4 linked regions of the Drosophila melanogaster genome follow. The protein of the gene in region 4 interacts with the protein of the main gene of each other region in a pairwise test. Each region holds a gene or a part of one and is shown on either strand. Other genes may lie near its edges. The genes, in order: mRpL51, trsn, CG4622 and Ibf2.

Evidence for each region.
Region 1: the proteins of Ibf2 (region 4) and mRpL51 interact in a two-hybrid assay, tested with the Drosophila melanogaster proteins (one large-scale study listed by BioGRID).
Region 2: the proteins of Ibf2 (region 4) and trsn interact in a two-hybrid assay, tested with the Drosophila melanogaster proteins (one large-scale study listed by BioGRID).
Region 3: the proteins of Ibf2 (region 4) and CG4622 interact in a two-hybrid assay, tested with the Drosophila melanogaster proteins (one large-scale study listed by BioGRID).

The regions. Positions count from the first base shown.
Region 1 is NT_033779.5:8,514,262-8,521,963, forward strand, and holds mRpL51 (mitochondrial ribosomal protein L51), read right to left. Parts: upstream 3,120-7,702; 5' UTR 3,032-3,119; coding exon 2,507-3,031; 3' UTR 2,492-2,506; downstream 1-2,491. Other genes in the region: CG13097 (uncharacterized protein), read right to left, coding at 1-331, 399-493; PIG-U (phosphatidylinositol glycan anchor biosynthesis class U), read left to right, coding at 892-1,021, 1,082-1,706, 1,769-2,040, 2,101-2,354; Uba4 (Ubiquitin-like activating enzyme 4), read left to right, coding at 3,406-4,767; Sgp (sgroppino), read left to right, coding at 5,456-5,531, 5,608-5,720, 5,821-6,331, 6,425-7,145, 7,201-7,351.
Region 2 is NT_033778.4:10,476,669-10,484,521, forward strand, and holds trsn (translin), read right to left. Parts: upstream 3,444-7,853; 5' UTR 3,371-3,443; coding exon 3,296-3,370; intron 3,243-3,295; coding exon 3,155-3,242; intron 3,089-3,154; coding exon 2,992-3,088; intron 2,930-2,991; coding exon 2,814-2,929; intron 2,758-2,813; coding exon 2,426-2,757; 3' UTR 2,343-2,425; downstream 1-2,342. Other genes in the region: Pef (peflin), read left to right, coding at 3,587-3,595, 3,655-3,874, 4,422-4,501, 4,559-4,622, 4,695-4,921.
Region 3 is NT_033778.4:24,550,347-24,559,994, reverse strand, and holds the start of CG4622 (uncharacterized protein), read left to right. Parts: upstream 1-3,711; 5' UTR 3,712-3,848; coding exon of another isoform or gene 3,849-3,990; 5' UTR 3,991-4,052; intron 4,053-4,423; coding exon of another isoform or gene 4,424-4,641; intron 4,642-9,648. Other genes in the region: Nurf-38 (nucleosome remodeling factor - 38kD), read left to right, coding at 1-165, 221-372, 431-540, 863-894; ITP (Ion transport peptide), read right to left, coding at 3,849-3,990, 4,424-4,641. UniProt on the Drosophila melanogaster protein: Scaffolding subunit of the trimeric nuclear exosome targeting (NEXT) complex, a complex that directs a subset of non-coding short-lived RNAs for exosomal degradation. The RNA exosome is fundamental for the degradation of RNA in eukaryotic nuclei.
Region 4 is NT_033777.3:9,255,354-9,262,879, forward strand, and holds Ibf2 (insulator binding factor 2), read right to left. Parts: upstream 3,149-7,526; 5' UTR 3,088-3,148; coding exon 2,903-3,087; intron 2,836-2,902; coding exon 2,433-2,835; 3' UTR 2,374-2,432; downstream 1-2,373. Other genes in the region: CG16734 (uncharacterized protein), read left to right, coding at 9-245, 310-450, 507-662, 719-1,174, 1,234-1,359; CG16736 (uncharacterized protein), read right to left, coding at 1,372-1,813, 1,934-2,325; Ibf1 (insulator binding factor 1), read left to right, coding at 3,695-3,834, 3,901-3,988, 4,279-4,350, 4,415-4,603, 4,658-4,897; ATP6AP2 (ATPase H+ transporting accessory protein 2), read left to right, coding at 5,372-5,414, 5,638-5,990, 6,253-6,819; sage (salivary gland-expressed bHLH), read right to left, coding at 7,522-7,526.

The sequences.
Region 1 (7,702 bases), on a different chromosome or scaffold from region 4:
GTCGCTGAAGTCTGATTCCTCATCTTGTTCCTCATCGCCTGAGTCTTCAGCTTGTATTACTTCGTCTTCTTCCTCTATTTCTTCACCATCGTCCAGTTCAATGCCCAGGTGCTGCTCGCGCATCGCCGTCAGCCTGGCGGTTTGCTCCAGCACCTGTTGGAACACTAGTTCGTTGCGAATCTCCAGTTGCTGCCAGATCTGCTCCTCGTCCATTTGCTCCAGCACCAATTCCGGCAGCAGTTCCTTCTTGTTCGCCACATCCTCGCTGATGCTAACGGCGTATGTCTGCTGGATAAGCTGCTCGATGGCATTCACTTGTTCCGGCTGTGGCCTGAAATATAAATTGTTTTGACTACGTTTGAAAAAACACGTGCGCGGTCTTTGGAAGGAAAACAAACTGGAGAAAACGCTCTGGATTCTTGGTCAGCTGCTCGAAGTTCTCTGCGATTTCCTTGAAGACATTCGCCTCCTTGGATTTTTTACTTCCAATCATTTTTACTACTGCTTTCTGTGCTTAATTAAATGAAATATATATTCCAACAATTCGAGCGCAAGAGCGGGTCCAAAAACAACAACCAGTTGGTGAGAGATGGAACAGATACATAGAGATGAGCGCGTGATACAAGTACAAGTTTTTCCAAGCTTAAAAACTTTATGCGAGTTGGAATCCTGTTTTGAGCCAAAATTTGTTATTCCAAAAATAATAAATATATTTAACTTGAAGAAAACAAAGCTCTAAAAAAAATCATAATTGCTTACACAGTAGACCAGAAGCCGTATATCGTGACAAGGAAATCGATAATTTATCGAAGGCCTTTGCCACCACCAAGCCAGCTGTAGGCGGCTTTTTACAGGCGGAGTCCGTTCACAAAAACTATGCCCAACTAGAAGATGGATTCGAAGTTCTTTAAACTGCTCCTGCTGGGCGGCGCCGTGCGCTTCTACTTCTGTCGCACGCCGCTGGCTCCGATGATTGGCAACCGAGTGGAGTTCGCGACACCTTTAAATTCACACAAGCGCAGTAAGTAAACAAAGTAGACATCAAATAGATGAACAAGTCTGAATGGAGTTATTCTTGCAGTGCAAGAGGGGATATTTCTTCTACAGAGTGGCATTGATCCCTATCTGGGCGACCTGGTACACGAATCGCCGCTGATACTCAGCGCGCTCTCCGGATTGTTTCAAAAATACCCGCAGTTTCTGCCGATATTCTACATAATCCTGGATATCTGCACGGCGGCCCTGCTTTATGCGATGAGTCTGAGATTCGTCAAGCAAAAGCAGGATCAGCAGGACAAGGAGCGAAAGGAGTATGCCAAGGATACGGAAGAGCTGCAGTTTGGCCCGCTGGACAAGCTTGACATTCCGGAACTTGTGATCGTGGCATATCTTTTCAGTCCACTGACTGTTATGAGCTGCATTGGAATGACCTCCACCGTGATAAGCAATCTGTTCCTGGCTTTCTTTTTCTACTGCCTCGTGAAGGGAATGCTCATTCCATGCCTTCTAGTCCTCGCGTTCGAAACTGTCCGCAGCTTCTATCCCATTGTACTTATAGCACCACTGCTCCTGGTCTTTTCACGGAATTCGGTCAGGAGGGGTGTGGCTATAGCGGCGCTCTTTATCGTCAGTTGTCTAATCGTGGCAGTTGCGAACTATTTTGTGCTGAACAGCTGGAACTTCCTGGATGGAACGTTGGGTTTTATGTAAGCAAGAACTATCTTATTAGTTATCTGTTTGTATTTTTACGTATTTAACTATCTTACAGATTTTATTTCCGCGATCTACAGCCAAATATCGGTCTCTTCTGGTACTTTTTTACTGAAATGTTTGAGCACTTCCGCACCATGTTCCTAATCACATTCCAATTGAATGCCACCGTATTATACCTGGTGCCACTAAGTATTAAGCTGCGCAAGGAGCCCCTACTGCTAGCCACGGTATTGGTGGCCCTTATGGCCGTTTTTAGGGCGTATCCCAGCCTGGGCGATGTCGGCTTTTATCTGGCCTTGCTTCCGCTGTGGAAAAGATGTTGGAAATGTAAGTTATCTGGCTCACGTAGTTATTTCAACTGCTAAGCACTTTGGTAATTTCTTTCAGTCATGGCCCATGGCTTTGTGGTCTTTACGTTCTTCCTGGTCACTCTATCTATGATGGGAGCCCTTTGGCATTTGTGGATCTATGCAGGATCGGCAAATGCCAATTTCTATTTCGGTGCCACTCTTGCGTTTTCCACTGGGCAGATATTTCTAATCACCGATCTGCTGTTCGCGCACGTTAAACGTGAGTTCTGCTTGTTCAATGGTCAGAAGATTCTGATCGATGGCGAGGAAGCGAGGATAGTCTTAAAGTAAGCATTAACAGTATCAGTATGACGGACAGAATCCAGGAACTTTGTACAGATGCAGAATGCGCTTCCTAATGGCAGCCGAGCATACTCTTAAGATAAGTTAACTCCGAACAATATCAGATTAAACAAAATATTTTATTTGATTGTAATGGTTTTTTACTGATGTGAATAGCCCGTCTTCGTCTTGCGGTTGAGGAACTTGTACAAGTAGAGGATGCGTTTCTCCATTTCCCGCCACTTGGTGGGTCGGGCGATGGGATACTTGGACTTCTCGAGCAGCTTACGTTTGCGGAGAAGCACCTGGTACTCATTGCCGGAGACGCCACGCAGCCAGGATGGCAGGGAGTAGAGCACCTTGACTGGATGCAGACGATCGTTGCCCAGGATGTCGATGTAGTCGTTCTGGCCAAACAACGCACGTTTCTTTGACCAGGCGTTCTTTGGGCGATACACCGGCATCGGCAGTTTCTGTCCATTGTCCACATGGGGGAGTAGTCCGCTCTTGAAGATCTTGTCCTCATATCCATAGCGCCGCACAGTGGGACCGCGTGCTCGTCGCTCGGCATGGGATAACTGCCGCACGGTGTAGCTGGTTGATGCCATCGGAGCCAAGGGTTTTCCGCCCACAGCAAGGAGCGTGGCTCTGCCAAGTTTTTGAATCATACTTCCCAGCCAAGACATGGCTATGTTTTAATTAACGATTAGATAATTGTAAACAGTGCCTGGAAATGGGTGAAAAAACACGAACAGAACATCTGTTTTTGCTGGCAAGCCGGCAGTGTTGGAAAATGTAGTGATTTGTTGTAGCTAATTAGTACAAGGAATATGAGAATACAAATTGGTAGCTACGGTAAAAAGTATCCGAAATTTTATATATGTGTCACTTCATAAATTTGGGGTGTAAAACAATTTTTTATAGGTATTGCTCTGTGTACAAGTAATCGAATCAGTGGGCAATCGAAAGTGCCGGTAAGTGTAATCGACATTCATCAGCTGATTGCAGTCAGAGGCATTTGTTTGAAATTGTTTATTGGACATTCATCCCCAGCAGCACAATGATGGAATCCGAGGTAGATTCTGAGCGAACCATGCTAAAGCGCGAGATCGCCGAGCTGCGCGCAGCGCTCAACCAGAAGGAGCAGTGTCTGCGAGAATTGGATTCCTTGTTTTCCTTCGCCACAAGGCCAGAGCAGGAGGTCGTCGGAAATGATCTGGAATCGCCTGATGTTGCAGTCCACACGAAGTTGACCAACGACGATATTGCGCGTTACAGCCGCCAGCTTATACTGCCCGACTTCGGCGTCCAGGGACAATTAAAGCTGAAAAACAGCTCTGTCCTGATTGTGGGCCTAGGCGGATTGGGATGTCCGGCGGCGCAATACTTGGCGGCAGCCGGATGCGGACACTTGGGGCTTGTCGACTACGACGAGGTGGAGCGGAGCAACTTTCACCGCCAGATTCTGCACTCCGAGGACCGTTGTGGTATGTCCAAGGCTGAATCGGCGAGGATAGCACTGCTCGAACTGAATCCGCACTGCGAGATTCAGTGCCATTCCAGGATGCTGTACCCTCATAACGCCATGCACATCATCCGAGGCTACGACGTGGTTTTGGACTGCACCGATAATGTGCCCACCCGTTATCTACTCAGCGATGCCTGCGTCATGCTGAGCAAACCCCTTGTCTCCGGGAGTGCCCTAAAGATGGATGGTCAGCTGACTGTATACAACTATGCCAACGGGCCCTGCTACAGGTGTATCTTCCCAGTTCCTCCACCGCCAGAAGCAGTCACCAATTGCGGAGATGGCGGAGTCCTGGGTGCTGTCACCGGTACAATTGGCGCAATGCAGGCTCTGGAGGCCATCAAGGTGATTGTGGGAATGGGAGATGTCCTCGCCGGACGCCTTCTAATCTTCGATGGCGGTAGCGGCGTGTTTCGCAATATTCGCATACGCAGCAAGCGACCCAACTGCCATATGTGTTCCGCTCAGCCGCTGATCACGGAGCTAATCAACTACGAAATGTTCTGCGGTATGCATGCAACCGACAAGAACAATCCCATGCTACTTTTGTCGACGGATGAGCGTTTGTCCGTGGAGGACTACCAACAGAAGATCCAGGCTCAACCACATTTGCTTATCGATGTGCGGCCAACTGCAGAATTCGAGATTTGCCAGCTGCCCGAGGCTGTGAATGTGCCACTGGTAGAGATCCTCGACGACAGCTATCTTAAGCGGCTTGGCAAGCAATTGGAGGACAAGGAACTGCCCATCGTACTGGTCTGCCGTCGGGGTAATGATTCGCAGATCGCCGTTCAGCATTTGCGCAACCGATTCCCCACGCATTTCGTTCGAGACCTGATTGGCGGACTGCATGCCTGGACGAACAGTGTAGACCCCAGTTTTCCCATATACTAATCCGACAAAACATATACGTTCCACTATATATGTAGATTTATTCATTGTTTCTCCTGCAATGCATTGGTTTTTTGGTTTTTTTTACCTAAGCTCTTACGTATGTCTTGTTATCATAAATACCAGGCTGGTGTAATAAAATGAATAATTCAATTCTGTCTTCTTTCGTTGAATATATTGATAAATTTAATGGAATCATATGTCTTCCGGGCTCTAATGGGTGCCTATAAAAATGGAAAAGTACGGACACAAATGCTTTGCATATCCTTAGATACATGTCTTCGTACGGGTAAAACTATGAATATGAAGTCTATAATTATTGGTGCAGGGATAACAAAATTAACTATTTTTAAAACGGCTTAAACTCCTTGTAGGACCCATAATACATAATGCTATCATAAGACTACTTCGGAAAATCAGGAAGTCAGATTAAACTTTTTCTATATGTCCTTTTAATTCAATTCCATTCAAGAAAACTAACCTTTACAATATGCTTTCGAACTGATCGGTTCCACCAGTTTTCCACCTTCGTATTTGAATTAAGTAATCAAATACAAAATGGATTGAATAATTGTAGACCATTGGTGGACACAAAAAGATCATTAGCATTCGATTATAAATGGAATAAATAGTGAAAGCACTGCTCATTGGTGTAGGCGAGCCGACAGAACCAATATCATTTTAATCCAAAATGCAGACAGACATATTGCAATTTTACAAAGACAAATCGGTTTTTGTAACCGGAGGCACAGGATTTCTAGGAAAAGGTAAAGCTATATAAGAAGTTCATATATCTCTAGATAATAAATTCAAAACTAAAATATGTTAAAATTCAAATTTCAGTGATCATTGAAAAGCTCCTCCGTTCAACGGATGTAAGGCGAGTTTATCTATTAGTAAGGCCAAAAAAGAATGAAACGGTGGAAGGACGGTTTCAGGCCTGGAAAGATGAGCCGGTGAGTCCAAGAAGATGATGATAAGGATGTGGGTGCCCATCCTATAGTGACTTCCATATTCGTATGATTTTAATTCGGGTTGAATGCTGATATTTTTCAGGTTTTTAAAATCCTACTCAAGGCTAAACCGGAGGCTCTGAAGTTGGTCACACCCATTTCGGGAGACTGCAGCGAACCCGGTCTGGGTCTCAGCGACGGGGATCGCAGGATGGTGACCGCTGATGTGCAGGTGATCATCCACAGTGCCGCCTCCATTCGCTTCGTGGAGCCGCTTCAAAGGGCTTTGAACATTAATACGCGTGCAACGCGCCTGATGATTCAGCTGGCCAAGGAGATGAAAGGCTTGGAAGCCTTCGTGCACATCTCCACGGCCTTCTCCAACTGCCCCTCGCAGCACATTGAGGAGCGTTTCTATCCGGAGCACCTAACGTGCCCGGCGGCCAAGGTGCTCGAATTCAACGAGACTTTGAGCCCAGATTTGTTGGACAAGATGGCTCCGGCTCTTATGGGAAAGTTTCCGAACACCTATACCTATACCAAGGCACTGGCCGAGCAGGTGATCCAGATGGAGGGTCAGGACCTGCCAATCTGCGTCTTTCGTCCTGCGATAAGTAAGTGATTTAGTGGGCTCAGACAAATAGAAAGAAGAAATCAAAGATTGAGGTCAAATAATTAGTTAACATCATCAACTTTGTGCCTTGCAGTTTTGGCAAATTTCAAGGAGCCGATGTCTGGATGGATTGACAACCTTCACGGAGTCGTAGCCTTGATATACGGCAATACATATGGGATCCTTCGCCTCTTGTATGTCAATCCTAAGGCCGATGCTATAATAGTTCCTGGCGACTATTGTGCCAACGTGGCGCTGGCTTCCGGATGGCAGGTGGCAAAGAATTCCGAATCGCGATCGTCTTCTCAGTTGGCGGCGAAGAAGCCGCCGCCCATTTATACACTCGCCACAACCAAGTCAAATTCCATCACCTTTGGGAAGGCGGTCAAGTTGGGCATCCATCATAACCATACGATTCCGGTGACCAAAACGATTTGGTATCCATTTGCCCACTTTACCACCTGCCCTTGGTTGTTTAAGCTGGGTTGCATATTTTATCATCTGATTCCTGGTTTCTTCTTCGATCTCCTCCTACGTATCCAAGGTAAAAAGCCTATTCTGATGAGGAGCTATCAAAAGATCCACGAAGTACTTTTGCTTCTGTTTCCCTTCAATGGAAAAACGTACGAGATGGATATGAATAATACCAATCAATTATGGGATTCAATGTCGCCGGAGGACAGGAGTATATTTCCCTTTGACATGGCCACTCTTAACTGGGAGGAGTACTTCACTCGCATATTGTCCGGAATGCGGGTGTTCCTTTACAAGGAATCCTGGGACACCTTGGAACAAGCGAAAAAGCGTTTATTCAGGTGCGTAGAATTCAGATTCGATAGTTGCTCTATCTAACATCCATGGCTGTTTCAGGTTTTACATATTGCATCGATCCCTTCAACTTGTACTTTGCCTTGCTCTCGGAAAGATTGTGTGGATCTTGTACAGTGTAATTGCTAATAATTACATTAGGAGCATTGAGGTTACCCTGCCGTCTCCGGTGGCCGATTTTCCAAGTATTTAATCCAATGTGCATATGTACATGCATATATGGCATCCGATTGTTAGGGGTCCTTTTTTGATCGATTTTATAACGATTTTCATTGTATCGATTGCCAAAAATAAAGTTATATGCTCGTGCGTAATTCGATTGTATCATTCTACACTTAACCGTTTTTTATAATAATTAAAAAAATTCAATTTATTTCTAGTTTGTAAAACAAAACTTTGAAGCAAATAAAATCCCGTTATTTTTACGAATACCCTACACGATTACGACTAACGCCTTTACAATACAATATCAGCTGACCACATTTGAGTTTGCTGTACAAAATACCGTTAGCGGTGCACTCAACAGCTGAGCGGCGCTCAAGCT
Region 2 (7,853 bases), on a different chromosome or scaffold from region 4:
TCCAGTGGTACGCAATTTCGGTGGTCTGATAAGGATTGCTCGAGCACGCGGTTCCGATAAGAGGTGATTGCTGTCAGAATAACCTAGTGCAATCGGTGACGCGTTGGAAGTGTCTACCTGGCATAAATGTCGTCTGCTTATCGCACGACCGGGATCTTCGTAACCCCCCCCCCCCCCCCATCGAAAGTGTGCCCAGATTGGAGAATTTCGATTTAAAATAACCACTGCGATGAAAACGAAATGGTGCTGCTGGTGCTGGTATTTGTATCTTGGGTTTGGACTTTGAACCGTAGCAAACTTGAAATGTGCGGCGACTGCGAACGACAGAGGCAGCCAGCCACGCATGTCTAACGAGAGCGGTACGATCGAGGTATTGGTGGCTCTGGAGGGTCGGGTTCCGAGGGGCAGCACAAAGGCGCTGGGAACCAGTTGCGCTGGGACCCCTTGCAAATCATTCACAGCTGCCGCGGCCAGCGCAACGAAAATTGATAAAGCGAGCGGGGTATCTTTGAGATACTCGACTACAAGATATCCACTATTACATGGATTCACATGAGTTATTGAACTAAAAGTGCTGTGAACATTTCTGAAGTACTGCGACACTTAAAAACGTAACACACTATTGGTTGAGTGTGGTCGTTAAAAGCGGTCATAACAAGGTATACCTAATATTTTTATTTGACAACCATATTCAATGCAGGTTAATAGTTCTATAAACGTGTAATTACCATGCGAAATAAACAAGCAAACTTACTAAAATGATTTTGTCTCAAGACATACCCACTACTAATTGAATACTTACAGTAGACGATACTCAAAAAAATATGACTTTGAGGAATACAACTAATATTAGGGCGTATTTTAAAATTTTTCAATTTTTTTTAAATCTTTTTCGATACTAAAATATATTCTATATATTATTTTTTGTTTTTTGATGTATTGAAAATACACATACCCTGCAAGTCTTTAATTGCCGGGTATGCAAGCAAAACACTCAATGAAGGAGGTCCATAGCTAATGGTTTCGCTACTTTCCATAACAGTTAGCACTCGGATTCTGGGTTTATTATATTGACTTTTTGTTGTTGGTTTGCGGCTGGGCTTTTCCTTGGCATTTTCCCTTCGAAATGAGAATGCAAGAAAGTTGGAATGGGGGTAGGAAGAAAGAGAGACGCAGAGAGCAACACCTGCCCGTCAGTGTGTGGGTGTCTGTTGTGGTTTTGCTTTTCAGATGTTTACGTCGAAAGCTCTCTCAGTATTTCTCGCTCTCCTCCCACTCAGTGCGTTGTAAGAAGAGGGGAAAGAGCAACAAGGAGAGAGCGTGCCCCGTTAAGCCTCTCAGGAAACTTGTTTCGGACTTTGAACCGCTTCGATTAAAGCGTGTTTTGAAAAACACCAAACAACAACTATGTCTGCGGAACGAAATAAAAAAATTAAAACAAACAAACAACAACAAGGCAACTGCAGACTCAACTAAAGTTTTGTAATAAAAACAGTGCTATTTGTTTAGTGACCATTTCGGGCAACAAGTTTTTACCAGATTTGTGACCCAATTATTGCCAAACAGGTTGGAGTCTCTCAGTTTTTAGCTTTTTTTTCGGGCCGGGGACGGAAAAGGGGGCGTGGTCAAGAGAGCGGGTGAGTTTCTGGGCCAACGGACTTTTCACACGGCCAACTGCCCGCCAGACTTACTTTCTTGAAATGGTAACCAATTGCAGTCTCCACTTTCAAATCAAAATGCTAGAAAGGGCGAAACAATAAAGAGCGCACAAAGCGGGAAAAAACAATAAGAACAACACGGGAAGGACGACGGACGACGAAGCAGCAAACAAGAAAATGCAAAGACGCGCGCGCAATGTTAACGTTGTAAGCGTTGCGGTGGCAAAAGAGAGACTGAAACTGCGCCTGAGAAGCAGAAGCAAAGGCGAAACGGAAGCAGCGGCCAAAGAAGAGCAGCAACAAATCCACCATATGATCGGGGCAACAACAACAACTGCGGCCCAGTGGTGGTGGCTAAACAAGTTTCAAAAGGGTTAAGCCATCAAACTTCTGCACTTGTCTCTATGTATACTTAGTTATGATTTAATCAAAACGCGCACAGCCATTTTAATTACCTTTAAGTTGCACAAACTTATGTTTTTTTGTTATGGTTCAAAGCACTATTTCGCTTCTGTGTAAACTGATCATTAAAATAAGATGGTGCCTATTAAGATGTAAAGAAATGTGTTCTGAAAAAAAACAAAAACACATTTCAGATTTTTAACACAGGATTACATACATATATCCTGCTACATTTGATTCCTACGAGCATTCCTGATTTAAATAGTAAAATAAAATGATACTCTGTTTAATGAATGTAATATATTTGCTTGTTTAAATGAAACTTTTTCATTTTAATAAACGCCTTATCCTACGTACGAAGTAAACTATTCGGTTGCAGGAACAGCCGGCTCCTCCTGCTGGTCCTTTTCCTTGCTGGACAGACCGCGTATGCTGACATCGTAGACGACCTCCTCGATCTTCTTGACATCATACTTTAAGGCATCGAAGCGCTTTCGCAAGCCATCGTTCTTCAGGTTCAGCAGACGGAAGCCCGTGTTCAGGTCACCAATAAAATGGGAGATATTCAGGGGACGCTCGTAGTCGCCCATGGTGACGGAATTGGTAGCGAATCGGGAGAGCTCCGACGCCAACTGCAGTATGCCCAGTAGATAGTCCTCCACATCCAGATGGAAGCCCTCAGACTGGCTGATCTTCACTGTGGAGTAATTAACTATTATTTCGTATCCAGAGAGCCTTCCAAATCTAGCTTACATCCCAGCATTTCGGCCACTGTTTCGCGGGTGACCAAGAAGCCCGCCTCCAGGTAAATAACCAAGGCAATGATGAAGATCAAACGCTGCGTAATGAAGGTCCAGTGATCGGAGTATCTGGAGAAGGCGGAGCATTCGACACCCACAATAGACACCACGGATTTCACCATCTGACTCACCTGTAGTACTGCCCAGCTGGCACCAGTTCGGCCAATTTCTGGTACTTTTGGGCACACAGCTCAACCTGTTTGCGGGCTAAGCCGCAGGCGGCACTAACTATTGTTCAAGTATAATGTCATATTAGAACAAAACATACAAGCTACCAAATTGTACAGAACTTACTCTGGCTCAAATCGCTATGAATAATCTGCAGTTTAATCTGCGCTTCCTTTGACAAATGCTCGATTTCGCGCACCACAATGCGGATGTTCTAAAAACAATGGTTTAAGATGGTGGTTTTTAGGATATTAACCGTCAACTCACCTCCCTGACTTCCTGTTCATTGTCTATGTACTTTTGGTAGTTGGAGAAGATGTCCAAGTTCACGAAGTTCGACATTTTTGCTTAATGTTTTGCTGCTTTTGTTAGTTGTTTATACCGGCGATAGGGATGGGAGTATAGCCAAGCAATAAGTCTAGCAATGCTATCGATATGTCACATTGTTATCGCTTGCCCAAACCAGTGTTGGTGAACGCCCTTCTTGTCATCTGTAGTTTCATTAAAATTGTTTTGTCCCTCAAGTTCCAATTAGAATCGAACTAGGCTCGTGACAAAATGTCTTATGTGAGTGTGTTTATGCTTAAGAAAGTGGATTAAATGTACTTACTACCGTTTATCCACAGGGACAAGGCTATAACCCGTATGCCCAGCCCGGTGGTGGCTATGCCCCGCCGCCAGGAGCATTTCCGCCGCAGAATGCCCAGGTGTCTCCGCAGGCACAGCAATGGTTCTCCATGGTGGACCGCGACCGATCTGGAAAGATAAACGCTTCCGAGTTGCAGGCGGCCCTGGTGAATGGGCGTGGCGATCACTTCTCGGATAATGCCTGCAAGCTGATGATAAGTAAGCTTAAGCCCTGCCCAAAAAAGATCCCAAAGTTTCCTCTACAGGAACTGTGACGTCAGTAGGTGAACACTAACAAACGTGTATACACTGTATACTATACAGTAGACCCTCTAAAAGACGATCATAAGCTAAACTAGTTTGGTAGGCAATATAGTAACACAAGAACACAAGAACAGGTTGTCGATTTGAATCTTCTATGCGTAGCCTAGCACACCCGCTGTATGCCAAGAACCAATGAAGGGCACATGGGCACATATATTTAGATCATCCTGTGAGCTGATGATAGCTAAGTAAGCTTCAGTTATGAAATACTTTAAAATTCCTTCGATTCCCCTTCCGGAAACTGTGACGTCAGTACTCCCCTAACAGACAGTCAGTATCAATTTAGTTATACTTTCGGCTATAAATGTTTCACTGTATTTATTGCCCCAATTTAGGGTACATGCATATTTGTTTAGATCACCTGGAGCGCCAGACACTTTTCCGTTTGTTTACCCTGCGATTTATGTTGTATTTTTATCGCCTTTTTTAATTTACTCAACAGGCATGTTCGACAACGACGCCAGTGGTACCATCGATATCTATGAGTTCGAGAAGCTCTACAACTACATCAACCAATGGCTGGTAAGGTATTTCTTATATCGAAACTAAGTAGTCTGACTCATTGTATCACTGTTGCAGCAAGTCTTCAAGACCTACGATCAGGACTCCTCTGGACATATCGAGGAACAGGAGCTGACCCAAGGTAAGCTAACACAACAACTGAATCTCCAATTCCTTTATGGCCTTTTACACTAATTACCAAACTTGTTGGCAGCCTTCACCCAGATGGGCTTTCGATTCTCGCCCGAATTCATAAACTTCCTGGTGAAGAAGAGCGACCCCCAGGGCCACAAAGAGGTGTCCGTGGATCAGTTCATAGTGCTCTGCGTGCAGGTGCAGCGTTTCACGGAGGCCTTCAGGCAGCGCGACACCCAGCAGAATGGAACCATCACCATTGGGTTCGAGGACTTCCTCACCGTGGCCATTGGCTGCTCGTATTGAAAGAATGATTCAATGCAACCGCTCCATGGGAATGCATCTCCACAGTCTTGCACACACACACACACACACTACAGCCAACAGTGGATGATCATAAATTTCGCGACTGGTGCATTTTTCTTAAATTTTCAACGGTGTTAGCTTTTTAATATGTAAATGAATCACTCCACAGTCATATTGCAATCTCCTGGTATCAGAATCAAATTTCAAAAGTATTTGTTAACGCAGTTCGACTCAATAATCATAGTACAAAGTCTCTTGCGCCTAATAATAAACTATACACACGTATTTTTAAAAATTAAAAGATATCTGCGTTTTATTTAAAATGTAAACATTGTATATGAAAAGTTCATTATAAAATCATGTCTTATTTTAGCAGTCACACTGCCCACAGTTCGTAATCGTGTCTTCGTCGATCGGTGAAGACCACGTGATATGCAGTTAGGAATTATAATCTTATTAAGTATACAATCATAAAATATCGGGCGATTCAATGTGACGGCACACAAGCTTAATGGTAAGATACAAACATTAATATCAGTTAAAACATTTAGGCATAATAAGTGTTTGGTTTTTGGTTTGGGAATCGTACAATGTTCCAATTTTTTTGTTTTTTTTTTGGTCATGGGTTAATAATTTTTAAGATACAATAAACTCAGTCTTAAAGTCCATAAATATATGAAACGAATGTCTTCAGGGCGAGGAATAGTTGGTTTTCAATTGGTTAATTAATGGTTTGTTCAGTTGTCAGTTCAATGCAATTCTCTTAACTAATTCAGTCATAATGTATATCATTGTAAATGGCATCGATTGAGCTTATCGAGTAGTTACCAAAAGTTTTGGTCTTAGTAGCTTAATCAAGCCAAGTCAAGAGATCGTTGGATGGCAGAGGGTTTCTGGGCAAGATGCTGGGAACTTTTTGGAAATACGCACACGGCGAGGCGAACCCTTTCTAAATACTTTTTTTCTGGACAACATCGTGATATCTTAAATAGTAGAGACCTTAGAAAATATTTGAGTGTTGTTTGATAATATTTTGCACACTTAATCGTAAGTATAAAATTGACATTTGGTGAATGATCATTTTATACAATTTAAGAGATATTAACTGATGCTTTAACGCATAAATGCATCGTTAGAAAAAAGGCTTTAAGACTAATTTGATTATATGCTTGATTAGATTGGCTTGCATTTGCTTACATTACATAAATTACTACAAGTAAACATTAAATATTTGGGATGACACATGAATGACAAGAAATAAATTTCCACAAATCCAATGGACAAAACAAGACACCAGACGTAAAATATATTGTATATCAAATGGAAGCATCACTCGGTCCCCGTACAAATTTATTTGGTTTCAAGCTCTCCCTTCCCATTGAAGTCGATGATCAGCTTGCCCTGCGAGTCATCGGACATGGAGCCGCTCATCCCGTTTTCGCGATTCATCGAGTACTTCGATCTCCTCTTGCTGGGCAGCTGGGGCAGATCGGTGTGGTGCTTCCTCACATGGACACCGAGATTGCCGCGCTGTTTCGACTTGTAGGGGCAGTAGGGACACTGATGCGATGGCTCCTTGCCGCCACACTCGACATTCTCGTGGCGCCGGAGTGTGGACTTCCAGCGATACTTCTTGCCGCAGTGACGGCACTCGTATACGGGTTCGCCATCCAGGCCGATGCCATTGGGACTGGTGGTGCTGCCATTGCTGCTGCTGCCGCCATAATCGCTGAGTGTAAACTCCAGGTTGCGGAAGGCCTGATGGGCATCTAGAATCGAGCTGGCCGATCCTCCATGGGCATTGGCATTGAACATGCCCATGCCGGAGTTGTTGCCGAACTTGCCACCGCTTTGCTCCATCAGGTGTATGTCATCGAAGGCATGATAGCGACCCTCTTCGTCGTCCTCGGTCGAATAGCCCGGTTCGTTCTCACACTCAGAGTGGCGGAGGTCGCGCTCTTGCTGCTTTCGCAAGAGGTTCTCCAGAATTTTAGTGGGTGTTATGTCGCCCCCAGCGATTTCGACATCGTTTTCCTCCTTGATGCGACGATGGGGTGTCTGTTGGCGCAGTATCTCCTGGGCACGCAACTGCTGCTGGAAGTTGTGCAGTCCATTTCGCATCAGGGCCTCGGCAATTACGGCTGCCTGCGGTTTCGGAGTCAGAGCCGCCGCACTATTGGCCACCAGCACCGAAGTGGGTATGGCCGTGGTATGCTCCGTGGACGATGCCGCTGTCTTCAGGGTGTATTTGGGCCTTGGATGAAATGAGGCGGCGGCGCCAGCGGCAGCACCCACCACACGCGTAGCTGTGGCGTTCTGAACTCGCATCACTTCATCAGCATTCAAGTTTTTTGAGGCCGTCTCGGAGGCCGTACCATAAACGGCAATGGCCGAAATGGTCGAGGGATCTAGGATCTCACCGGATGTCGGCGAGACCTGACGGTGCGGCTGCTCCGCCTTGGGCACCTTGGCCGATTTGGTCTTGTAGAACTCGAACAGCATGTCGGAGACCTCGGTGACGGACAAGCGCTTGCGCCGAGATCCGGGCAACTGGATCTTCTGCTCATCCCGCTGCTTGCCATTGAGAATGCTGCGCTGGAAACTGCGCTGAATCTCGGCGGTGGACGCCACATCGGGTGCGGTGTTCTCCTTCCTGCTCAAATCTGCAATTGGAAACATGGTTGCGATTGGTTAATTTAGTTTCTGGGTTTTTTCGTTCAAGTCACTCCGTTCGAAGTTCCTTCGCTTTGGTCTATGTCAATCGTTTGGATTGAGCTGCGTCAAATGAAAAAGCAAGTTTTAACACTGGGACTGCTGGGATTAGGGCAAAAAATGTTGTTAGATGAATGGCATGCAATAAATAGGCAAAATACACTACAAGTAAATAAATAAGTAAAGCAAAACGCATAATTTCGCATTTTTTTAAAATTAA
Region 3 (9,648 bases), on a different chromosome or scaffold from region 4:
AAGGTCAAGGTGCTGGGCACCATTGCCTTGATTGACGAGGGCGAAACCGACTGGAAGATAATCGCCATCGATGTGAACGATCCGTTGGCCTCGAAAGTCAATGATATCGCCGATGTGGACCAGTACTTCCCGGGTCTGCTTCGTGCCACCGTTGAGTGGTTCAAGGTGGGTGGAATTCGATTTTCGGACGATTCCCTCTCTTACCCTTTGCATTTCGCAGATCTACAAGATCCCCGATGGCAAGCCTGAGAATCAGTTTGCTTTCAACGGCGATGCCAAGAATGCGGACTTTGCCAACACCATCATTGCCGAGACCCACAAGTTCTGGCAGAACTTGGTGCACCAGAGCCCCGCATCCGGGTCCATCTCCACGTGGGTTAAATGCCATTTTATACATTTACAATTAATCCTAAGTACGTCCGTTTCGCAGCACCAACATCACCAACCGCAACTCGGAGCACGTCATTCCCAAGGAGGAGGCCGAGAAGATACTGGCCGAGGCCCCCGATGGCGGCCAGGTCGAGGAGGTGTCTGATACAGGTAAGGTTCACTATATTAGATCGAACTTATAGCTGCTTCACCCGATCCCAACCAAAAACACACTACTCCAACACACGCTTTAACCACCAGTAACTTGCAAACAAATTGGTTACACAAACACAACCTGCACGCTTACTAATAGCTACTTTAATTGTCCAGTTAGCAAGCTAAATTGAGATTACTCCATGCTGTAAATACTGCTGAAACCCAATTTATGTAATTGGCTTGCTTGCGTTCGTTAATCGTTGTACATATACTTTATACTGAATGTTATCCTGAAATAAACCCTTTTTATACCAATTTACGTCCTTTGTAATTGCAGTCGACACTTGGCATTTCATTCATCTCAAGTGAGATGTTCTCCTGGGCTGATTCCATCACAAGATCCATGATCTATCTGTAGTCCAATCGAATCGAAAATGCTTGCACTTGTGAATTATTAATACTGAAATATTATCGTACGTTGAATAAAGTTTTGCACCGCAATCAAATTCGCTGTCGATTCCTCTTGAAATATACAATCTTTATTTATATTTTACGACTAGATCCAAACAAGTTTAAATTAATTAAAAGTTATGTAATTGTAAGGCATTGCAATACTACATAGAATCGAATCGAATTATGCCGTGTGGTGTTGCTCAGATGTGATTTCCGTTCTATTGCAGGAGAGCATGTGTGGGAAGGTGTGGAACGTAAAATTTATTGCCGTAACAAATTAACTTAAGCTTACGAAATAAAAGAAATGTACAAATCAGTTAGGCGTTATAAATATGTATAGAAATCTTTAAAAGAAGACAAAAATAGTTATATACATCAGACATTTTGATTCTTGTTCGTTTGTTCGTTCGTTTTTTTGTTTGCTTGTTTTTTTTTTGTTTGTTTCTTCTCATATTTGATTCTTGGCATAACTTTTTGCTTTCCTTCTGCGCGAAGAACTAAAAGAAATAAGCATAATTTACGTAATTCACTACAACTAAAAGCTCCACGAGACTGTTTCATGACAGATGATAGAAATAACATATAGACCAATTTAGACTTTCCGATATAAGTGCGGATAAGTAGCGTGTAATAGTTTAGTAATTGTCTTCATAATTTTTTTTTCAACATTTTTGCTCTGCTTTCTCTTGTAGCTAGATGTTAGCTTAGTTGTTTCTTCAAGTGGTACACATTCCTCGGGTCGATCGTTTCCTGGTTGCCATAGTTTCGTGCCGTGTTCTGCCACAGTTATCAATAATAATAGTTTTAGTTAATAGTTCATAGAATTAAGTAGCTGCTCGTGCCAGTGACGGTGCCAGAAAATCCCAGAGAATCGCACTTTACTTGCGACCCAGGGTATCGCGCCATTCGTTATACTTGTCCATCTCCTCGTGCAGCTGAAGAGCCTCTATGCAGGCGTTGAAGAAGGGCGATCCGAAGCATTCTTGCCTGTGTTCAAAAACAAAAGGAGGAGGAGGAATTAGGAAACCTGATTTTTTTTAATTTGGTGTATAGCTTGCTCAGAAGAAAAAAGAGCCAAAGTTCAAAAGCCATATTCAGGTATGGTTGAATATATCACAAAAATTATTGTTCTCAAAATCTTGTTCTGTTTGTTTGCTCAAAAAATACGAGCTCAACAGTTCGAGGATTATTGAGGAATTTAACAAAAAGTAAAGCATAGTTGGTCAAATTTTTAGCTTGAGTGCTAGTTAAAAGCCAAGAATGCACAAGGTCAAAAATCAAATAATTAATTAAAAACAAAAGAAAATTATAACGTACCAAAACAAAAACGGTAAGCAGGCGTTTTTAGTCGCGCCAGAAACGCGCGCAAATCGCCAGCTGCAGTCTGTCTGTCTCTGTCGCCTTCTGTATGGCGGTCTCTTTCTCTGGCGGTGTCCTGCGTCGCGCATTCGCATTCTAATTCTCATTTATCACAATTTTGATGCTCTCAAATAGCCAGCGAATGATTGATTATCCTTTATTAATTTACAGGGTTTTATTAATTATGTATTATTTATTGCCACATTTGTAATGCAGTCGTTCCGTTCTTCGCGTGTTTTTACCAGGTTTTTGTTTGTGTCTTGCACAAATTGCGATCTTGCGTTTCTCTCTAATATTTAGCATGTGTGTAGGGTACTCGTATTCGGATATATGTAAGGCTTTAGCTTTAGATAGGTATGCATATACTATATACTATATAGGTAAATACATATCTCCGTTTTGCGCCAACAGATTTACACTAATTCAGGGTTTCATCTTTACAAAATAGCACAAAATTGTAAGTGTAATACATTTGCAAAATACTTTCGGTCTCGATTGCGGTGTATATATGTGTGTGTGTGAGTGTGTGTGTATGTGTGTATGTGTGTATGTGTGTGTTCGTATGGGTTTATCTTTATCATTGTAGTTTTGCCCTTGCGGAAAATCGTGTAAAATGTAAACTCTAAATGCTGATTTTACAGTAGAATACAGATACAAAAATAAAAGTTATCATTTTACATTACATAGATTAAAAACAATGGATTTCGTTTTGTTTATTTTATATACAAACCGCATAACGCAATAATAATAAAACAAGCTAAGAATACTTAAAAATAAATACTTCGGCTTCTATGTATATGTGGGGAGTGCGAGATCTGCGATCCTCCTCCTGCACATCATCATCATCATCATCTGATCATCATCATCGCCCATCTCCCACTCCCCAATTATGTTACTTACAACAAACGCATAACGTTCTCAATAAATTAATAAAAATAATTCGTTTTTAAAAAAACACATATAGTAAAAACTGTAAGGCATACAGTAATAAATAAGTACGAATTAAATTTGGGCGTTTTAATATTTTAGATTTCTGTGTTCTGGCTCTGCATGTGTGGTCGTAGTGGGACTGTTTCTCGATCTGGATCTGGATCTATATCTGGATGCGGATGCTCGTTCCAACCCACGATATTCGCACCGATTCTCAGCTGTGTGTGGTGTGTGTTGTTTGTTGTGTGCTGTATGGTGTATGGTGTGTTGGGGCTGTGGGTGTGTGGGGCGGGGACTTAGAGTTATGTTTGCGGCCCCATGTTGAAGGATATGGGCGAGCCGTTCACTACTCTCAGAAAGTGCTGTAGGTTGGATATTTCCTCTTCGGGTATTAACAGCACTTTCAGGCATTCGCCAAACCATTTTGAATCAAAGCAGTCTTTCCTAAAATTGAAAACGAAAATCAAAATGAAACACAACGGTAAAGGTAACTGAAGGCAGTAAGAAATCAGGAAAATGAAGTCGTTGCGGAAACGAAAGCGGAAACGGAAGTGGAAACGAAAGTGGTCGAAGTTAGGAGTCTAGTGGTAGATGGGCTTGTGAAACGGATAGGGTGATCCGTTGATCACTTTCAGATAGTGCTGCAGCTGCGATATCTCTTCATCGTCGATCAGCAGCACCTTTAGGCAATCCCCGAAGGTCTCGTGGACGAAACAATTGGCCCTGCATCGAATAGACAAGAAACACAGATGTAGGACTCGCACAGAGGGAAGTCAAACGAAAAGGTGATAAACTTATTACTACAATATTTAAGTGACTATAGGGTGAAACAAAAAGAGAGAGAGAGAGATATAGACCAAATGGAAGAAACCAAATAGGCAGCGGTCTCTGTGCGAGAAAGTCGAGGAGAAAGTAGCGGGGAAAGCGGGCCCATAAAGTTCAGAAACAACCGAAGGTCCCGCGATCATTTTCCGATACCCCGACAATTGTATTTGTGTCAGGGTCTGCCAGCACTTAAGATCATAATTAGTGTTTCTTGGACGGCCTTGCCTTGAACGCTGTAAGGAACACTGATGCTGCTTTGTGGTTTTGTTAGATATTTGTATGTATGTATGTGTACGTATGGCTGGGGCTGTGGGACCCTAGGGAAACTTACTTGCATAATCGGTGTATACTCGTCTCGCGGAACAACTGGTAGCAGTCCTCGCAGATGCGGTCCAGTCGGAAGAACATGGTCTTGTTGAAGATGCCCTTGCACTCCAGGTCGAAGAAGTTGCTGCGCTTCGACAGATTGTGGTTGTGTGGCAAGGCGGCGAAGATTGGTATCAGGACAAGAAACAGCACCACCGAGATCTTTATGTTGCGGGAACACATCTGCAAAAGTGTGGGAAACCGGAAACACGGTTAAGAATAGATGCCTATTTATAGGTGCGATCAGATTAATTAACTGCCCGGACCACCTCTCTGGCCAAGCAGATGTGGGCCAACCCAGCACGATGTCGGCCCAGCTCCACGCCGCCGCCAAAGGACAGGGGCAAGGGCAGCTCTCGCCCAGGTGGCATCGATCTGCTGCTCGATCCGCATCGCGGATGGGCAGGAGGACGGCGGAGACCCTATAAATAGACCTCGTCCGACAGCCGTCTACCGACTGGCTAAAAATAGGGCCCCCATCCCCATCCCCATGTCCATGCCCATGCCATTCTCCACCCAAAGGTGCAATTGCAATAGTGGCAACAGTTGCAGTCGGTGCCGCAGACGATCTTATCGCAGGAGCGCTCTATAAATAGCACCGGCGATTTCAATGTTTATTGCATTATTTGCCATCTGTCGGCGGGCTTAATTTATGATGTAAGTCCGCCCCGCCCCGCCCTCGTCTTTGGCGGCTCAAAGGAGAGCCAATTTGCGAACGGACGCAGACGCGGACGGGCCCCCAAAACATGGGCATTTGTTTACTTTGCATATTTTATCAATTTGCGCGCCCGCCGGGAATTACAGCGATGACAGCGATATATATATGAATATATATATATATATATCTATGCACTCGCATTTGTGGCATTCCGAACTATTGAATAATTTGATTAACAGCGCGCTTTTCGCAAATTTTTCCACTGCGCGCTGTGCCAATTGGCCGTTTGTGTGAACATGTGTGAAATTCCTTCGACCCCGGGTGAAAAATTGAAATGCTGAATGAAAACCAGGCAGACACGACGACGTCGGCTATTTCGAGAGCAATTTCGAGAGTATCAGCAACATGAAAGCGAATTTGTGCCGATAATGATTTAAACACATATAATCGCTAACGAATATACTCGTATTGTTTTAGCGAACGACTCTGAGGATCTGCGCAAATTGATTTTTTATTGCCGTGCTGATGTCTTCAATTAAGTTGAGCACATTTTTTCGCAGATTTATGGCCGCGAGATGGGAAAACACCGAAATGGAAATGGGTATGGGAAGGGGAATGGGGCATTTGGGGGGACTGCCAATTGGAATCGGAATTCTGAGAAAGTTCATCAGTCGGTCGCCGAAATATTCATATATTTATATGAATACTATGAATACTATTCGCGATAAGTGAGGCTTCTCGCTTAAAAGTATGCTCCACCAAGGGGTCTTTATTTGATATATTTTTGGTTGATGATATCAAGGGCTCGCTCATGTGTCGTCATACTTAATTACTGCGGTCTCGTGTGACAAAACAAATGTTTTTAAGCAATCACATATTTTTGTAGTGAATATAAATAACTCATCCCAGGCCATCGGTCGTCATTGTTTAGTACTTAGTGTCGAAAGTATATATAAATCAAGAGTAATACATCCATCTGTCGTCATAGTCAATTGCTCGCTGTACTATCGCCAACTATTGTAACATTATGACTTCAACTTGCTGGAAGGTAGAATAAGCTCCAGACAAATGAACCCTACTATCCCTACCTGCGAGTGGTGGGCACAAAGAGTGCAAGTTGTGGTCGGGTGGGGAACCCTTTGCACTCAATGCACATGTAGCACTCGTTTAGTCAGAGATCCCGACGACGTTTCAGTGCAAAGTGCAACAGCTTGCGTACGGCGACTCAGCTCGGCTCGATTTCCCCGATGGATTCGGATTCGGATTCGGATTTGGATTTGGCTGCTGGCTGTGGGCTGAGCATCTGGTGATAATTGGCTTCGAGTTGCACGATTTATGGCATCATCGTCGCTGCAGGCGGCTATTTTTAACGCTCTTTGCCGGCGTGAGTGCCATAATTGATATGCGAACCGCGTTGAAGATAATGTAACATGGACCGCGAAAAGGGGCTTCAGTATCGCAGAAGAAGGCGAGGGAAAGTTGGAGGAGCGGTTGAATGGATGATCCGGGGCGACTGGGCCGATCGATCGAATGGCGTCATCGTCGCAGGAAGGAGCCAATGAACGGCGTCATATTTGATCGATCTCCGATCTGAAGTGCTGCTCATATAGCTGCTCCTCCGATCCGGCGACATGTGCTGGCAATTTGTTTGCATTTCACTTTGATTAGCTGCCAATTGATTTTATTTGTCGGCCGGCGCTTTGCATCAATTTCAATTCGAGTCGCAAGCGCGTCGCACATACTCGTACAAGCCATCCCATTATTTGACTATCTATGTGTCCGTGTGCTCCATATGCTATATACGCTATATACACCCCTGATTCATTGGAGCGGGGCGCACGCACGCCCCTCGATTCCCAATTGGCATCTCGCTAATGCTGTTGTTGATTGCCGCTTGATTGTACACCATTCAACTGAGATTTGATTGCTGTTTTCGCCGATGTTTTACTGTCGCGCTGCTGCCAGGCGACATTGAATGAAGTCATGAGCCAAAAATAATTATGCCAATTATGACGGACAGACGGACGATGCCTTCTTTTTGCGCAATAGTTTATAATTATTGTGGCCGCTGCGGAATTCGGATGGCGCGGCATATGGTCTATATGGTTTATAGCGAAAGGGCACACTGCGATTCTTGAGTTTATTATGTGATATTATGAGGTACGTGTATGCGTGCTAAGCCGCATTTCAAGGTCGACCCCTTTGGGCGGATTTCCATCCACAATGGGAAACGAGCTATTAATAGAAAAGGCGCTCTTATCAGTTCCCCGTAAAATCGCCGCGGTATGTTGGAAGTGTTATCGTCGAAATCCCCATGCATTATGTGGATTATAAAGTTGCCTACAAAGCTGTGCATTCCCCGCCAGATATGCCCGACTGGGATGTGTGGCACCACCACCTCCATCTGCACTAGTGCCACTGGTGCCTCCACTGTGAGTCTTAACGCTTGGCTACGCAAGCATGGCGGAGCCGAGAGCCCAAACATGAAACACAGGCCCCTCGCTATTTTTTACGGCGCAACTAAAAAGTGCTTGGACACGCAAAAACAACACCACTGGCGGCAGAAGAACGCCGAGGAGCGTGTATAAACTAAACACTCATGACGAGACTGCTTGGTACCAGCCACTACATCTGAGCACTCGTATATGTACGCATGCTGAACTGGCTGGCACATCGGTGCTGTGTCTGCGCGGATCTCCAAGCGCTGCTGCTGCTAATTCGATGGACATGCAGGAGTCCCAGTCCCGGGCCCAATTTGCATGATGTTTGTATTCGATTAATATTCATGTATTCATGAAATCTGCACCGAATCTGCGAAACAGGAAAGGCGCAGTGGAAAACCGAGACCGCGTCTTGGTGGCCGGTTGAAGCCAGTGTGCACTGAAGAAAACGCTTCCTAAATCTTCCGCAGACACAAATCGCACGTCATCCAAATAAATCTTCGCTGCATCACATGACTGCTATTTCACTTAGCTTAGATAGAAAAAGAAAAACAATACGCGTATCTTGCCTTTCCATGATTATGCATTTACCAGAAATATTACCAGATTATTAGTTTATTGATGTTATTCAACTATCTAAATTTGAGGAAATAAGTTTAAAAAACTTTGCGTTGCACCCCCAAAATCCCTTCTTTTCCAAAACGATTTCCCCTTCGCGCAACTTTACGTTCTCCCCACTCACAGTGAATGCTGCCATTGCAGCGATTCTATGGCTTCCGTCCGCGGGCCGACCGGCGCGGGATGAGGAGGGCATGGCTCAGAGATCGGAGCCAAGTGATCTGAATAAGTGTGTGGATATCCAATTGATATTATTGAGGTTAATGGCGAATGGCCGATCCGTTTCGCAACAGATCTCGGCGTCTGCCAAAAGGCAATTGGCCGCACTTGGCGCACTTGGCCCGCTTGCCGCGCGTTTTTCTTAAGACTGGGGCAAACAATCGCGGTGTTTGGACAGCGATGACACAAGCGAGTCGTCAAACAGCACGAGATACTCCAACCGTGGAGCCAAAGCGAAATAAAGGGTGGAACACGAAACGGGAGCGACGCGCGAGCAATCAACTTTTGTTGGCAGCTCCAAAACAAAACTGAAGACCGCGCGCGATCTGTTGGCTGTTGGGGCTGACTACTTCGGCTACTACCGCTTGGCTTATCAGGCGGCCCACACAGATACTCACGCACACAGCCGGGCACAGCCGACGACAGCGAGTCTGGCGAAAAGGTATCTGTATCTGGCTAGCGCTCGAGTATCTGTATCCGAGAGATCGCAGCGTTGAGAGCGCGAGTGGAACACCCAGGCGTATACGTGATGTGCATGCTTAACACGCGGCCAAGACAGCAAAAGCCGTTAAGAAAAAATCAGTGGAGAGCGGCACTTGTCCTGGCACGCCGATGGAATATCTAATCGCCATTACTAAACTAGTTTGGCCCCGCCTCACCCAGGTTGCGCCTTTCCACGCCACCACCCCCCCCCCCCCTGAATTAATCAGCCATAAAAACGAGTGGCTGCAACTAAATTTTCCACCTTGCAGTGGAATTTTCTCAGCCGATTCTATCTGGCTAAAAAGAGTTCAGCCACAAGTGACTAAGCGGCCGAGTTAATTGTCATAAGTGAAGTAATTTCCGCAAGTTCTTTGAATAAATTGGCCCGCCGAGTTGTTTTGTTGTTTTTATGGCGCCTTATAATCTCGATTGTTAAGGCATCTTGAGGAATTCGTTGCATACATTTGGGGGTTTCCTGGGGAGTTGTAATCGCTATTGCCTAATTAGCCAGTTTAGCTAACTAGTATTGACACATAAGCTATAACTACTGGTATTTTATTAATTGCAATTTCTGTAAAATCACAAACTTACACCTGTTTATATTCCGAGTGACAGCCGCAGCTGCATTTTGTTTACGGGAGAGATGTGTATTAAGCTAATTTCAGTGCTATAAAATAGAGAATAACCCTATAAAAGTATATAGAAATATATATTAGTTAGTTAGGCGTTAGTTTCTTCTATTTTTAAATTGATTACACCCCCCCCCCCCAA
Region 4 (7,526 bases):
ACTTTCAGCTAAGATTCAAGCTCCTCCTGCTGATTTGCGAATTGACAGCTTCGCCTACAATTTACCAACTAAAGGACGACTCTGGTAATCTCCTGAAGTATGCTAATGATTTGGCTAGTAAGCTGTCTTCCCATTGGTGGGAGTCGACGGATGATCAATTCCTGAAATACTACGAGAAGAAACTGCACAGGGATTGCTGGAAGAGACAACTAGGAGCTGTGCATGGTTTCGGCAGATATCTAGAGGTATACACTAACAGACAAATATTTATCCAGATAGTCCAGTTTGTTCACTTACTTTATCCCGCAGCTTCGTTACGGAAAGAAATCCGCAATGTCCACCCAAATGTTGGCTTTTGCACTATCCGTGGGTCTTAATGTGCGCGAATGCTATGATACTATCTACAAGCAACTTGGGGTCAAGATCTTCTCAGTGATGTTAAAATTTAGCGTACGTGTTAGACCACTTTAGCGCCAAGACCTTCAATGAAACACTTCATCCTTCAGGACTCCAAGGACATTCAGGAACTGAACGTGCACAGTGTGATCTATGACCATGCCCTCAAGGATGTCTACAACATGGACTCAATTGAAGCCATCGAATCTGTTTGGAACTGCCTGTATTTCTGTCTTGATCACTTTGTAGATCTAGATGCTTTCACGGTGTGTACCTTGAAACTTACTCTAGTTACTGAACATAAATATGATGGCAACTTTAGTGGAACCAATGCGACGACATGCTGGAACGCCTCATTCAGAACGTGACAATGGCCTCCAGCCCAAAAGTTTTAATCTGCCTGCTGCAGTATATCATCCGATTAGGATACTACTTCACCATCAATCGCAGCGATGTGAAAACTGCTTTGGCCATGGATATATGCGAACCAGATAAATTGGTAGCGTGTCGGGACGTATGCCTTGCTCTAAATGTTAGCACCAGCTATCGTTGGGCCAAGGCCATCCTACAAATGCTTGTCCTGGAGTCGAGCAAGCTGCTCCAAGGTGTCGAGGTATGCACTGCTTTACTGGATCAACTGCTAAGATGCTATCTGGTTTGCATCATGCCTATTCCTCTGCAAGCTTTGCATCCGCACCTGCCGGAGTTTTACGGGAAGTTTGTGGCTGTGTTAATGGAATGTTTGGTGGCCCACGAGAAGGCACCTCCAGTTCTAAAAGTATGTTATTATGTCTATATATATTTCTGGTTACATCTAACAGATCAATTTTTTCCCAGCTCGTTTCGCGGTTCATCGAAGTCTTTAGCTTCCAACTGGAAAACGGGATAACCGAAACAATGCCCGCCCAACTATCAGAATTCAAGGAGGCTCTGTCAATTGTGCACCACAAGATTTGTGAATAAATATGGGGGTCTTTATGTTATATAGCGATCTAGTAAGAAGCGATATACAAACGTTGCCAAAACAGTATGTGGGATAAGGGCCATTAGTGCCGGTTTCCATCCAAAAAAGAAGCCCTTGTAGCCATGTTTTCGGATAATTTTCCGATACAGATATGGATAGGAAGTGCGGCCATAGTGTGAGGATTCGTTTAACGTTAGAGTAGCCAACGCATCCACTGGTGTCATAATGACTGTGATAATACTGCCTGTTAGCGCCATAGTTATGAGATCGCTAAGCCACGGCTCGTCGAGTCTGTGGAACCATGATATCACTGTATGGACCTTATCACTAATAGGAGTATACAGCACGGCCACGGCTGTGCTACTAATCGAGTTTATTTTCCAACCGGTAAATAGGTAAGTAAATCCTCCCTTCGCGTACATACATTTGAGTCCTCTCCAGAAATTTCGATAGCTACAAAAAAGGGTTAACTTTCATAGCTTTGGAAGATTAAACGATACACATATAGATATTTGCTGGTTTCAAAATTAAACCGGAAAATGCCTATTTATGTTTATTCGGCCATATTCTTACTTGCGCCTCTCGTAGGATCCGCGCGTAAGATCAGCTTGCCGAATGACCGCCAGCTTGGCGAACGGTGTTGCCAATACGCCGCCCCAAAATCCGGTTATACCCAGGACCATGCTAGTGTTATACGGCTGCAGCATTAGGACGTACTTGTTATCCTGTAAGTTGTAGAACAACGTGTACGTTGACATCGTGTGAACAGTACAGCGTAGACAAGCAGCCACAATGCCGTAATAAAATCCGGGTAATCCATGACGGGCCATCAGCCGGAACATATGGTTTATGCTTAAACGGCTATGGTGGATTACGTTCGCCTGCATATTCACACGAACTAGCTCCATGGGATGCGACAACAGTTGGGCCGTAGTCTTAATCAGCAGGCCGACGTAGACGGGCATCTTTATAAATTGTTCAATCGAACTCCCCGCATCACTATTATTCATTATCTAAATAAATTTGTATATTCTCAAGAAATTTAAAATGTAGTGTACTTAAAAAGCTTAGGCTACTCGCATTCAGCACGCAGTTTGGCGATCTCCAGCTGTGTCTTTTTCGCCTCCAACAAGGTGACGGTGCGTTTCAGTTCGGATATCTCGTTCATCTTGGTAAAGTACTCGGATTTGACCACCAGATACTCCGTTTCCGCCTTGATCAGATCCTTCTGCAGTCGATTGGCGTCGGATGACGGGATCACCAGTTGATCCAGATCGGTCAAGTAGCTCACCAAGTTGGATTCCTGATTGCGTGCACTGCTATCATCCTCGTCGATCAGTTTGTCCAGTAGAATATTCGAAGTGAAGTCAATTGTGGAGCCGGAAGAGCTCTGTTCTGCCGGAGCGGCGTCCGTAGCCTCCACCTTAATACCGAATTCAGCGGTTAGATCCTCCCGGAACTTGAGACATGACTTCCTGTATCCACATACATACATTTTACGGACTGTACTTGCAAATGAGCGGGAAAAATTATAATACATACCTATGGATAATCAGCCTGTCTATGCTGGTGTTTGATTGGCATTTCCGACAGTGGGTGCACAGCGCTCGGTACTTCTTCGGCTCCCCATCCTTGCCGCCCTTGAACGCGGGTAGAAAGCCCAGTTTCTTCCAAGTTTCATCCTTCGAAAGGCCCGAGGGTCGCTTGGCCTTTTTTGCTTGCGACATTTTTACATACGGTTTGTGTTAAATTACGTGACAGTGTTGCTGCTGTAAATTCAACCGATGTATCGATAACATGCCATCGAATTCTATCGATGGTCGCTTGCATTTGAATATTAATTATATTTTTACTTTTGAATCATCTGTGAAATGACTGAATTGTAAAAAATGACTTTGTCTGGGTCATAAATAACAAATTTTTGAAAAGAATAAGTTTAATATTTAGCTTTGTATATTTAACGATTAATTAATCGGGCAGTAAATAGTACCATGAATGTATCTGAAAATATATGCGTGGAACCTTTAAAAAATAGACTATATTGAAGGGCGTTCATATATTACAAATACATATAAGTAAAATTAAGAAGCAAATCCTTTTAAAAGTTTACTACTTCACCCGTTATATACATATAAAATTATTTCTGATCTTTATTAAATATCGTTTTGACTAAAAGAAACGCATCGAACTGATCAATATCAAAATGGTTTTATCGATATGTCGATACATGTCTATCGTATGCAAGCGTGGATTTTACATGCATCTGTAGTGAAGCCATTTTTATTTGCATCGTGTATAGTACATTGGAATTTACTGCGATTGTTGTATTTTAAAATGCCCCGAAAGAAGTCCGAGGATTTTTACAGAACCCACGGATTTACCGCCAATTTGGAGAATGGCAAATACTCGGCCACCTGTCACTTCTGCGAAAAAGTACTCCAAAATACGGCGCTATCCCGGCTATCGTTACACAGGTAACCATACAAACATACACCAAACATTGTGTTTACATGCGTCAAGTAATTCTCATTAAATTGTAGGCAAACCTGCGATGCCCGGCGAAGTAGAAGCGCTGTAGTGTACACTTCTGCCGACGAGAAGGATCATGACGAGGCTCCTAGGATAAAGGTAATTCGATGCTTCCAATTTGGATACATTGGATGTATGTATATGTCTGGTGTAGGACGTCAGTGGACAAATGCACTTCAAAATAAATCCCAAAGATACTTTGCACACTATAATGTCAACCCCAAGTAATTTGACAAATATTCGGTTCGAACTTTGTCCGAATACAATATATAGTGCTTAATGATTTGACTTTTGAAATTACTAACCCATATCGTCTCATATGAACATTCATATGTAAATTAAATGTTACTTATATATCGCTAATGCTCTAAAATATATTTTTTATGCAGATCCAGAAGATTTCGGGCGACGATGATGGCGGCCTGGATAATGCCAACGAAGGCAAGGAGATCATTGTTAAGGTGAGTAGGTGAAAAATGCGTAAACTAAATCAAATACTTACATTATGGTTATTTTTCATTCCAGATACAACAAATTCTGGACGATGCTGACGAGGCTGAGGCGCCCAAGGAGCAACCCAGAGTGAAACGAGAAATTCGCAAAAGGAAACTGACCAAAACGGAAGAGTCTGGCGAGCAAAATTTGGAATTTGAAATTTCCAACGTTGAAATTAAAAATCCCGAATACTCTGAGTACCTGGACGAAAGCAAAGAAGTAAATATTCACAATTTGATAAGTATCTTAGACATTTTAACGATTATCGAACAGCATTACATATTGCAGCAAAACCCGGATGACTTAGCCAATGGATCGGCGACGATCATCGAGGCCAGGCCAAGAAATGGTTTAGCTGCATTGCGAGCGGAAAAGGCGCGAGCCGAGATCAGTCAGTTCCAGAGTAAGACCAAGTTTCTTAAAACGGAAACGGACAATCTAAAAGTAGAGCGCACACTGACTTTGCTTAAGATTCAGAAGCTTCGATTGGAAATCGACGCCCTACGCGATTAAAATGTATTTTAACTATAGATAACTTTTAAATGTCCGCATGGTGAACCCTTAATTTTTGTTAAGATGACGAAAATGTCTGTCTTGAATTCAACATAGATTTATTACATTTAACTTTGTAAAGGTGATTACAAAATACATTATTTTAAGCCTGATTACTCGAATCTTTTTATTAAATAATAATGTAATAATGCAATGCTTACAAGTGTTATTAAAATCGATGTAATCTAATGCTTACATACATAAATATTACATACATCAAAATTATTGAATAAATAAAAATACATAATAAATAAAACTAGAAATACTAGTACAATCGATAGTTCGCACTCTTCGACAACCCTACTGATACCCATTCGATAACTGACCCCAAGCAACCCTGTTCATCACATGATAGTCAGGGTGATATCGGGGAAGAGAAAAGGTTTTCTTTGCAGTCGTTCGTCATATGATTAAAAGTCCAGCGGAAAACTGAAAATGTTGAGAGTTTTCGTGATTTTCTCGCTGTTTATAGCGGCCAGTAAGTAGATCTACCATCTATAATCAAGTAAAATGCATGCGCAGCAAGTGGAAAGCGGTCACAAAGTGGATATTCTGTACTCATCGATTCCTCTTTGGGGGTGGTGACACCCAGAACTCGGGACTCCAAAGGGCTCCCCACATGCATGCGCAGAATCTTGGACAAAGGAGACGAATATGTTAGATTCTACAGAACTTATGAGCTACGTCTTCCTATTTTGCAGTCAATGCCTCTGGCGAATTCACCGTGCTGAACCGTCCCAAGGCAATCAGTTTCAAGGGCAACGATGCACTGGAAAGCCACTACGTGGGTGATGTACTCTACGCTTCCATGGGCAACGCCGTCAGCGGCGATACCAACTGGAACGGACTGACCATCAACGATCCCTTCAACCTGGCCAAGGGCGTCATTCTGGTGCATGTCCAGGGCATTGGTCACGTGACCACCGCCGGCAACGTCAAGACCTACGAGCTGACAGGCTCCGGAACGGACGCCTCTCTGAACGCCCTGGCCGCCGAACTGGAGGCAGCCAACGAGCCCGTCTGCGATATTAACTTTGAGCAGTTCGACGATGGCGTAAGTGGTGTCTTAAAGGGGAAAAGCACATTTCGTTAGTCAGTTAGCTAATTTGTCAAACCGCAGAAAGCATGATCTTCATCTGAAAGTTCGTTTAAAGAAGCTTCTCTACAATCCGCTATAACTTCCCACAAATATGATAGATAGTTATTAAACCTTAAAAATTAATTAATCACATGATTTATAGAGTGAATCATAGTGCCTTCCCCCTTACGCATATAACGTAGAGACCAATGTATATTTAACCACATATTTTTTATAGGTTCAAGCCTGGAAGTCCTGCTTTGGTGATTTCGAGGCCCCAGCCGCCAAGCCCACCAAGCACCTGAACCCCTCTCTGCACACCGCTGACAAGCAGTTCCTCCAGGAGGTTGGATTCATCAACAGTGCCGCCGATCATCTGGCTGAGATGGCCAAGCCCTCGAATGTCCTGATGCTGCGCGTTTCCGTCGATGGAGTGGCCAAGGCTCATGGCGAGAAGTCCGTGGCCGTGGAGGAGGCCAACAAATTGCTGTCGGCCGCTATCAGCCGCCTGCTTGCTGCCTCCCAGAAGTCCAGCGACTCGGTTCTGTTTGTCCAGACCACGGAGAAGGACGTGGCAGCATCGCGTGCCAAGCGTGATACCATTGCCGCTTCCACCACCAATCCCTACAACCTGGCCGTCTACTACGGCAGCGACTACCCGGTGATCTTCAACATCATCCTGTGGTTCATGGTCGTCTTCGGACTGTCTCTGCTGGCTATCTGCTACGCCATCGCTGCCATGGATCCCGGCAGGGACTCCATCATTTACCGCATGACCTCTACCCGCATCAAGAAGGACAACTAAGGAGGAGCAGGAGGAGTTGAGAAGCGAGAGGAGCAGGAGGAGCGAGAGGAGCTTGCGTTACGCTTTGTTATTTCGTCCCCCTTTTAAGTTGAAATTTGCCAACTTCTACTTCAATCCAACAGCGGATAAATTGTGTGTTTGTGTGTGTGCGGACAGCTGTCGCAGTAGTTGGTTTTATTATCTATAAATAAGTATTAAAAAACTTTTCAGTTTTCAATGCAGTTGCGGGCGTCGCAACAATTCCATAGAAATTTGTTACATTTTCCTGTTTTGTTGTACTTTTTAGGTTTATATATATATACGAATATGCACAACATACTCGCCAAGTCAGTCAGTTCTTCAAACGATTCATCATATGTAAATTATCAAAATGTGAAGTGTTGAAAAGTAAAGTTAAATATATATAGCCTAAAAAGACAAAGTTGCGCCTGGTTTTGTTATCTAGTTTTTGGGGCAAATGATAATTGAAATCATACGTGGTATTCTTGATAATTTATTTAATTATTGCACTTATAAAAAGGTTAACATGATAAACTAATATAAAATGAAAGCTATTTCAATTTTTTTCTTCTCAAAATCGTAAAGTATGGACCTTAACTTTTATAGGTTCATGGAATGACTTTGGCAAATTGCGGATATAATATAACACAAGTTTTAAATTGAATATTTAAATGAATTCCCTTTGATATTCGTTAATTCAAGTTACG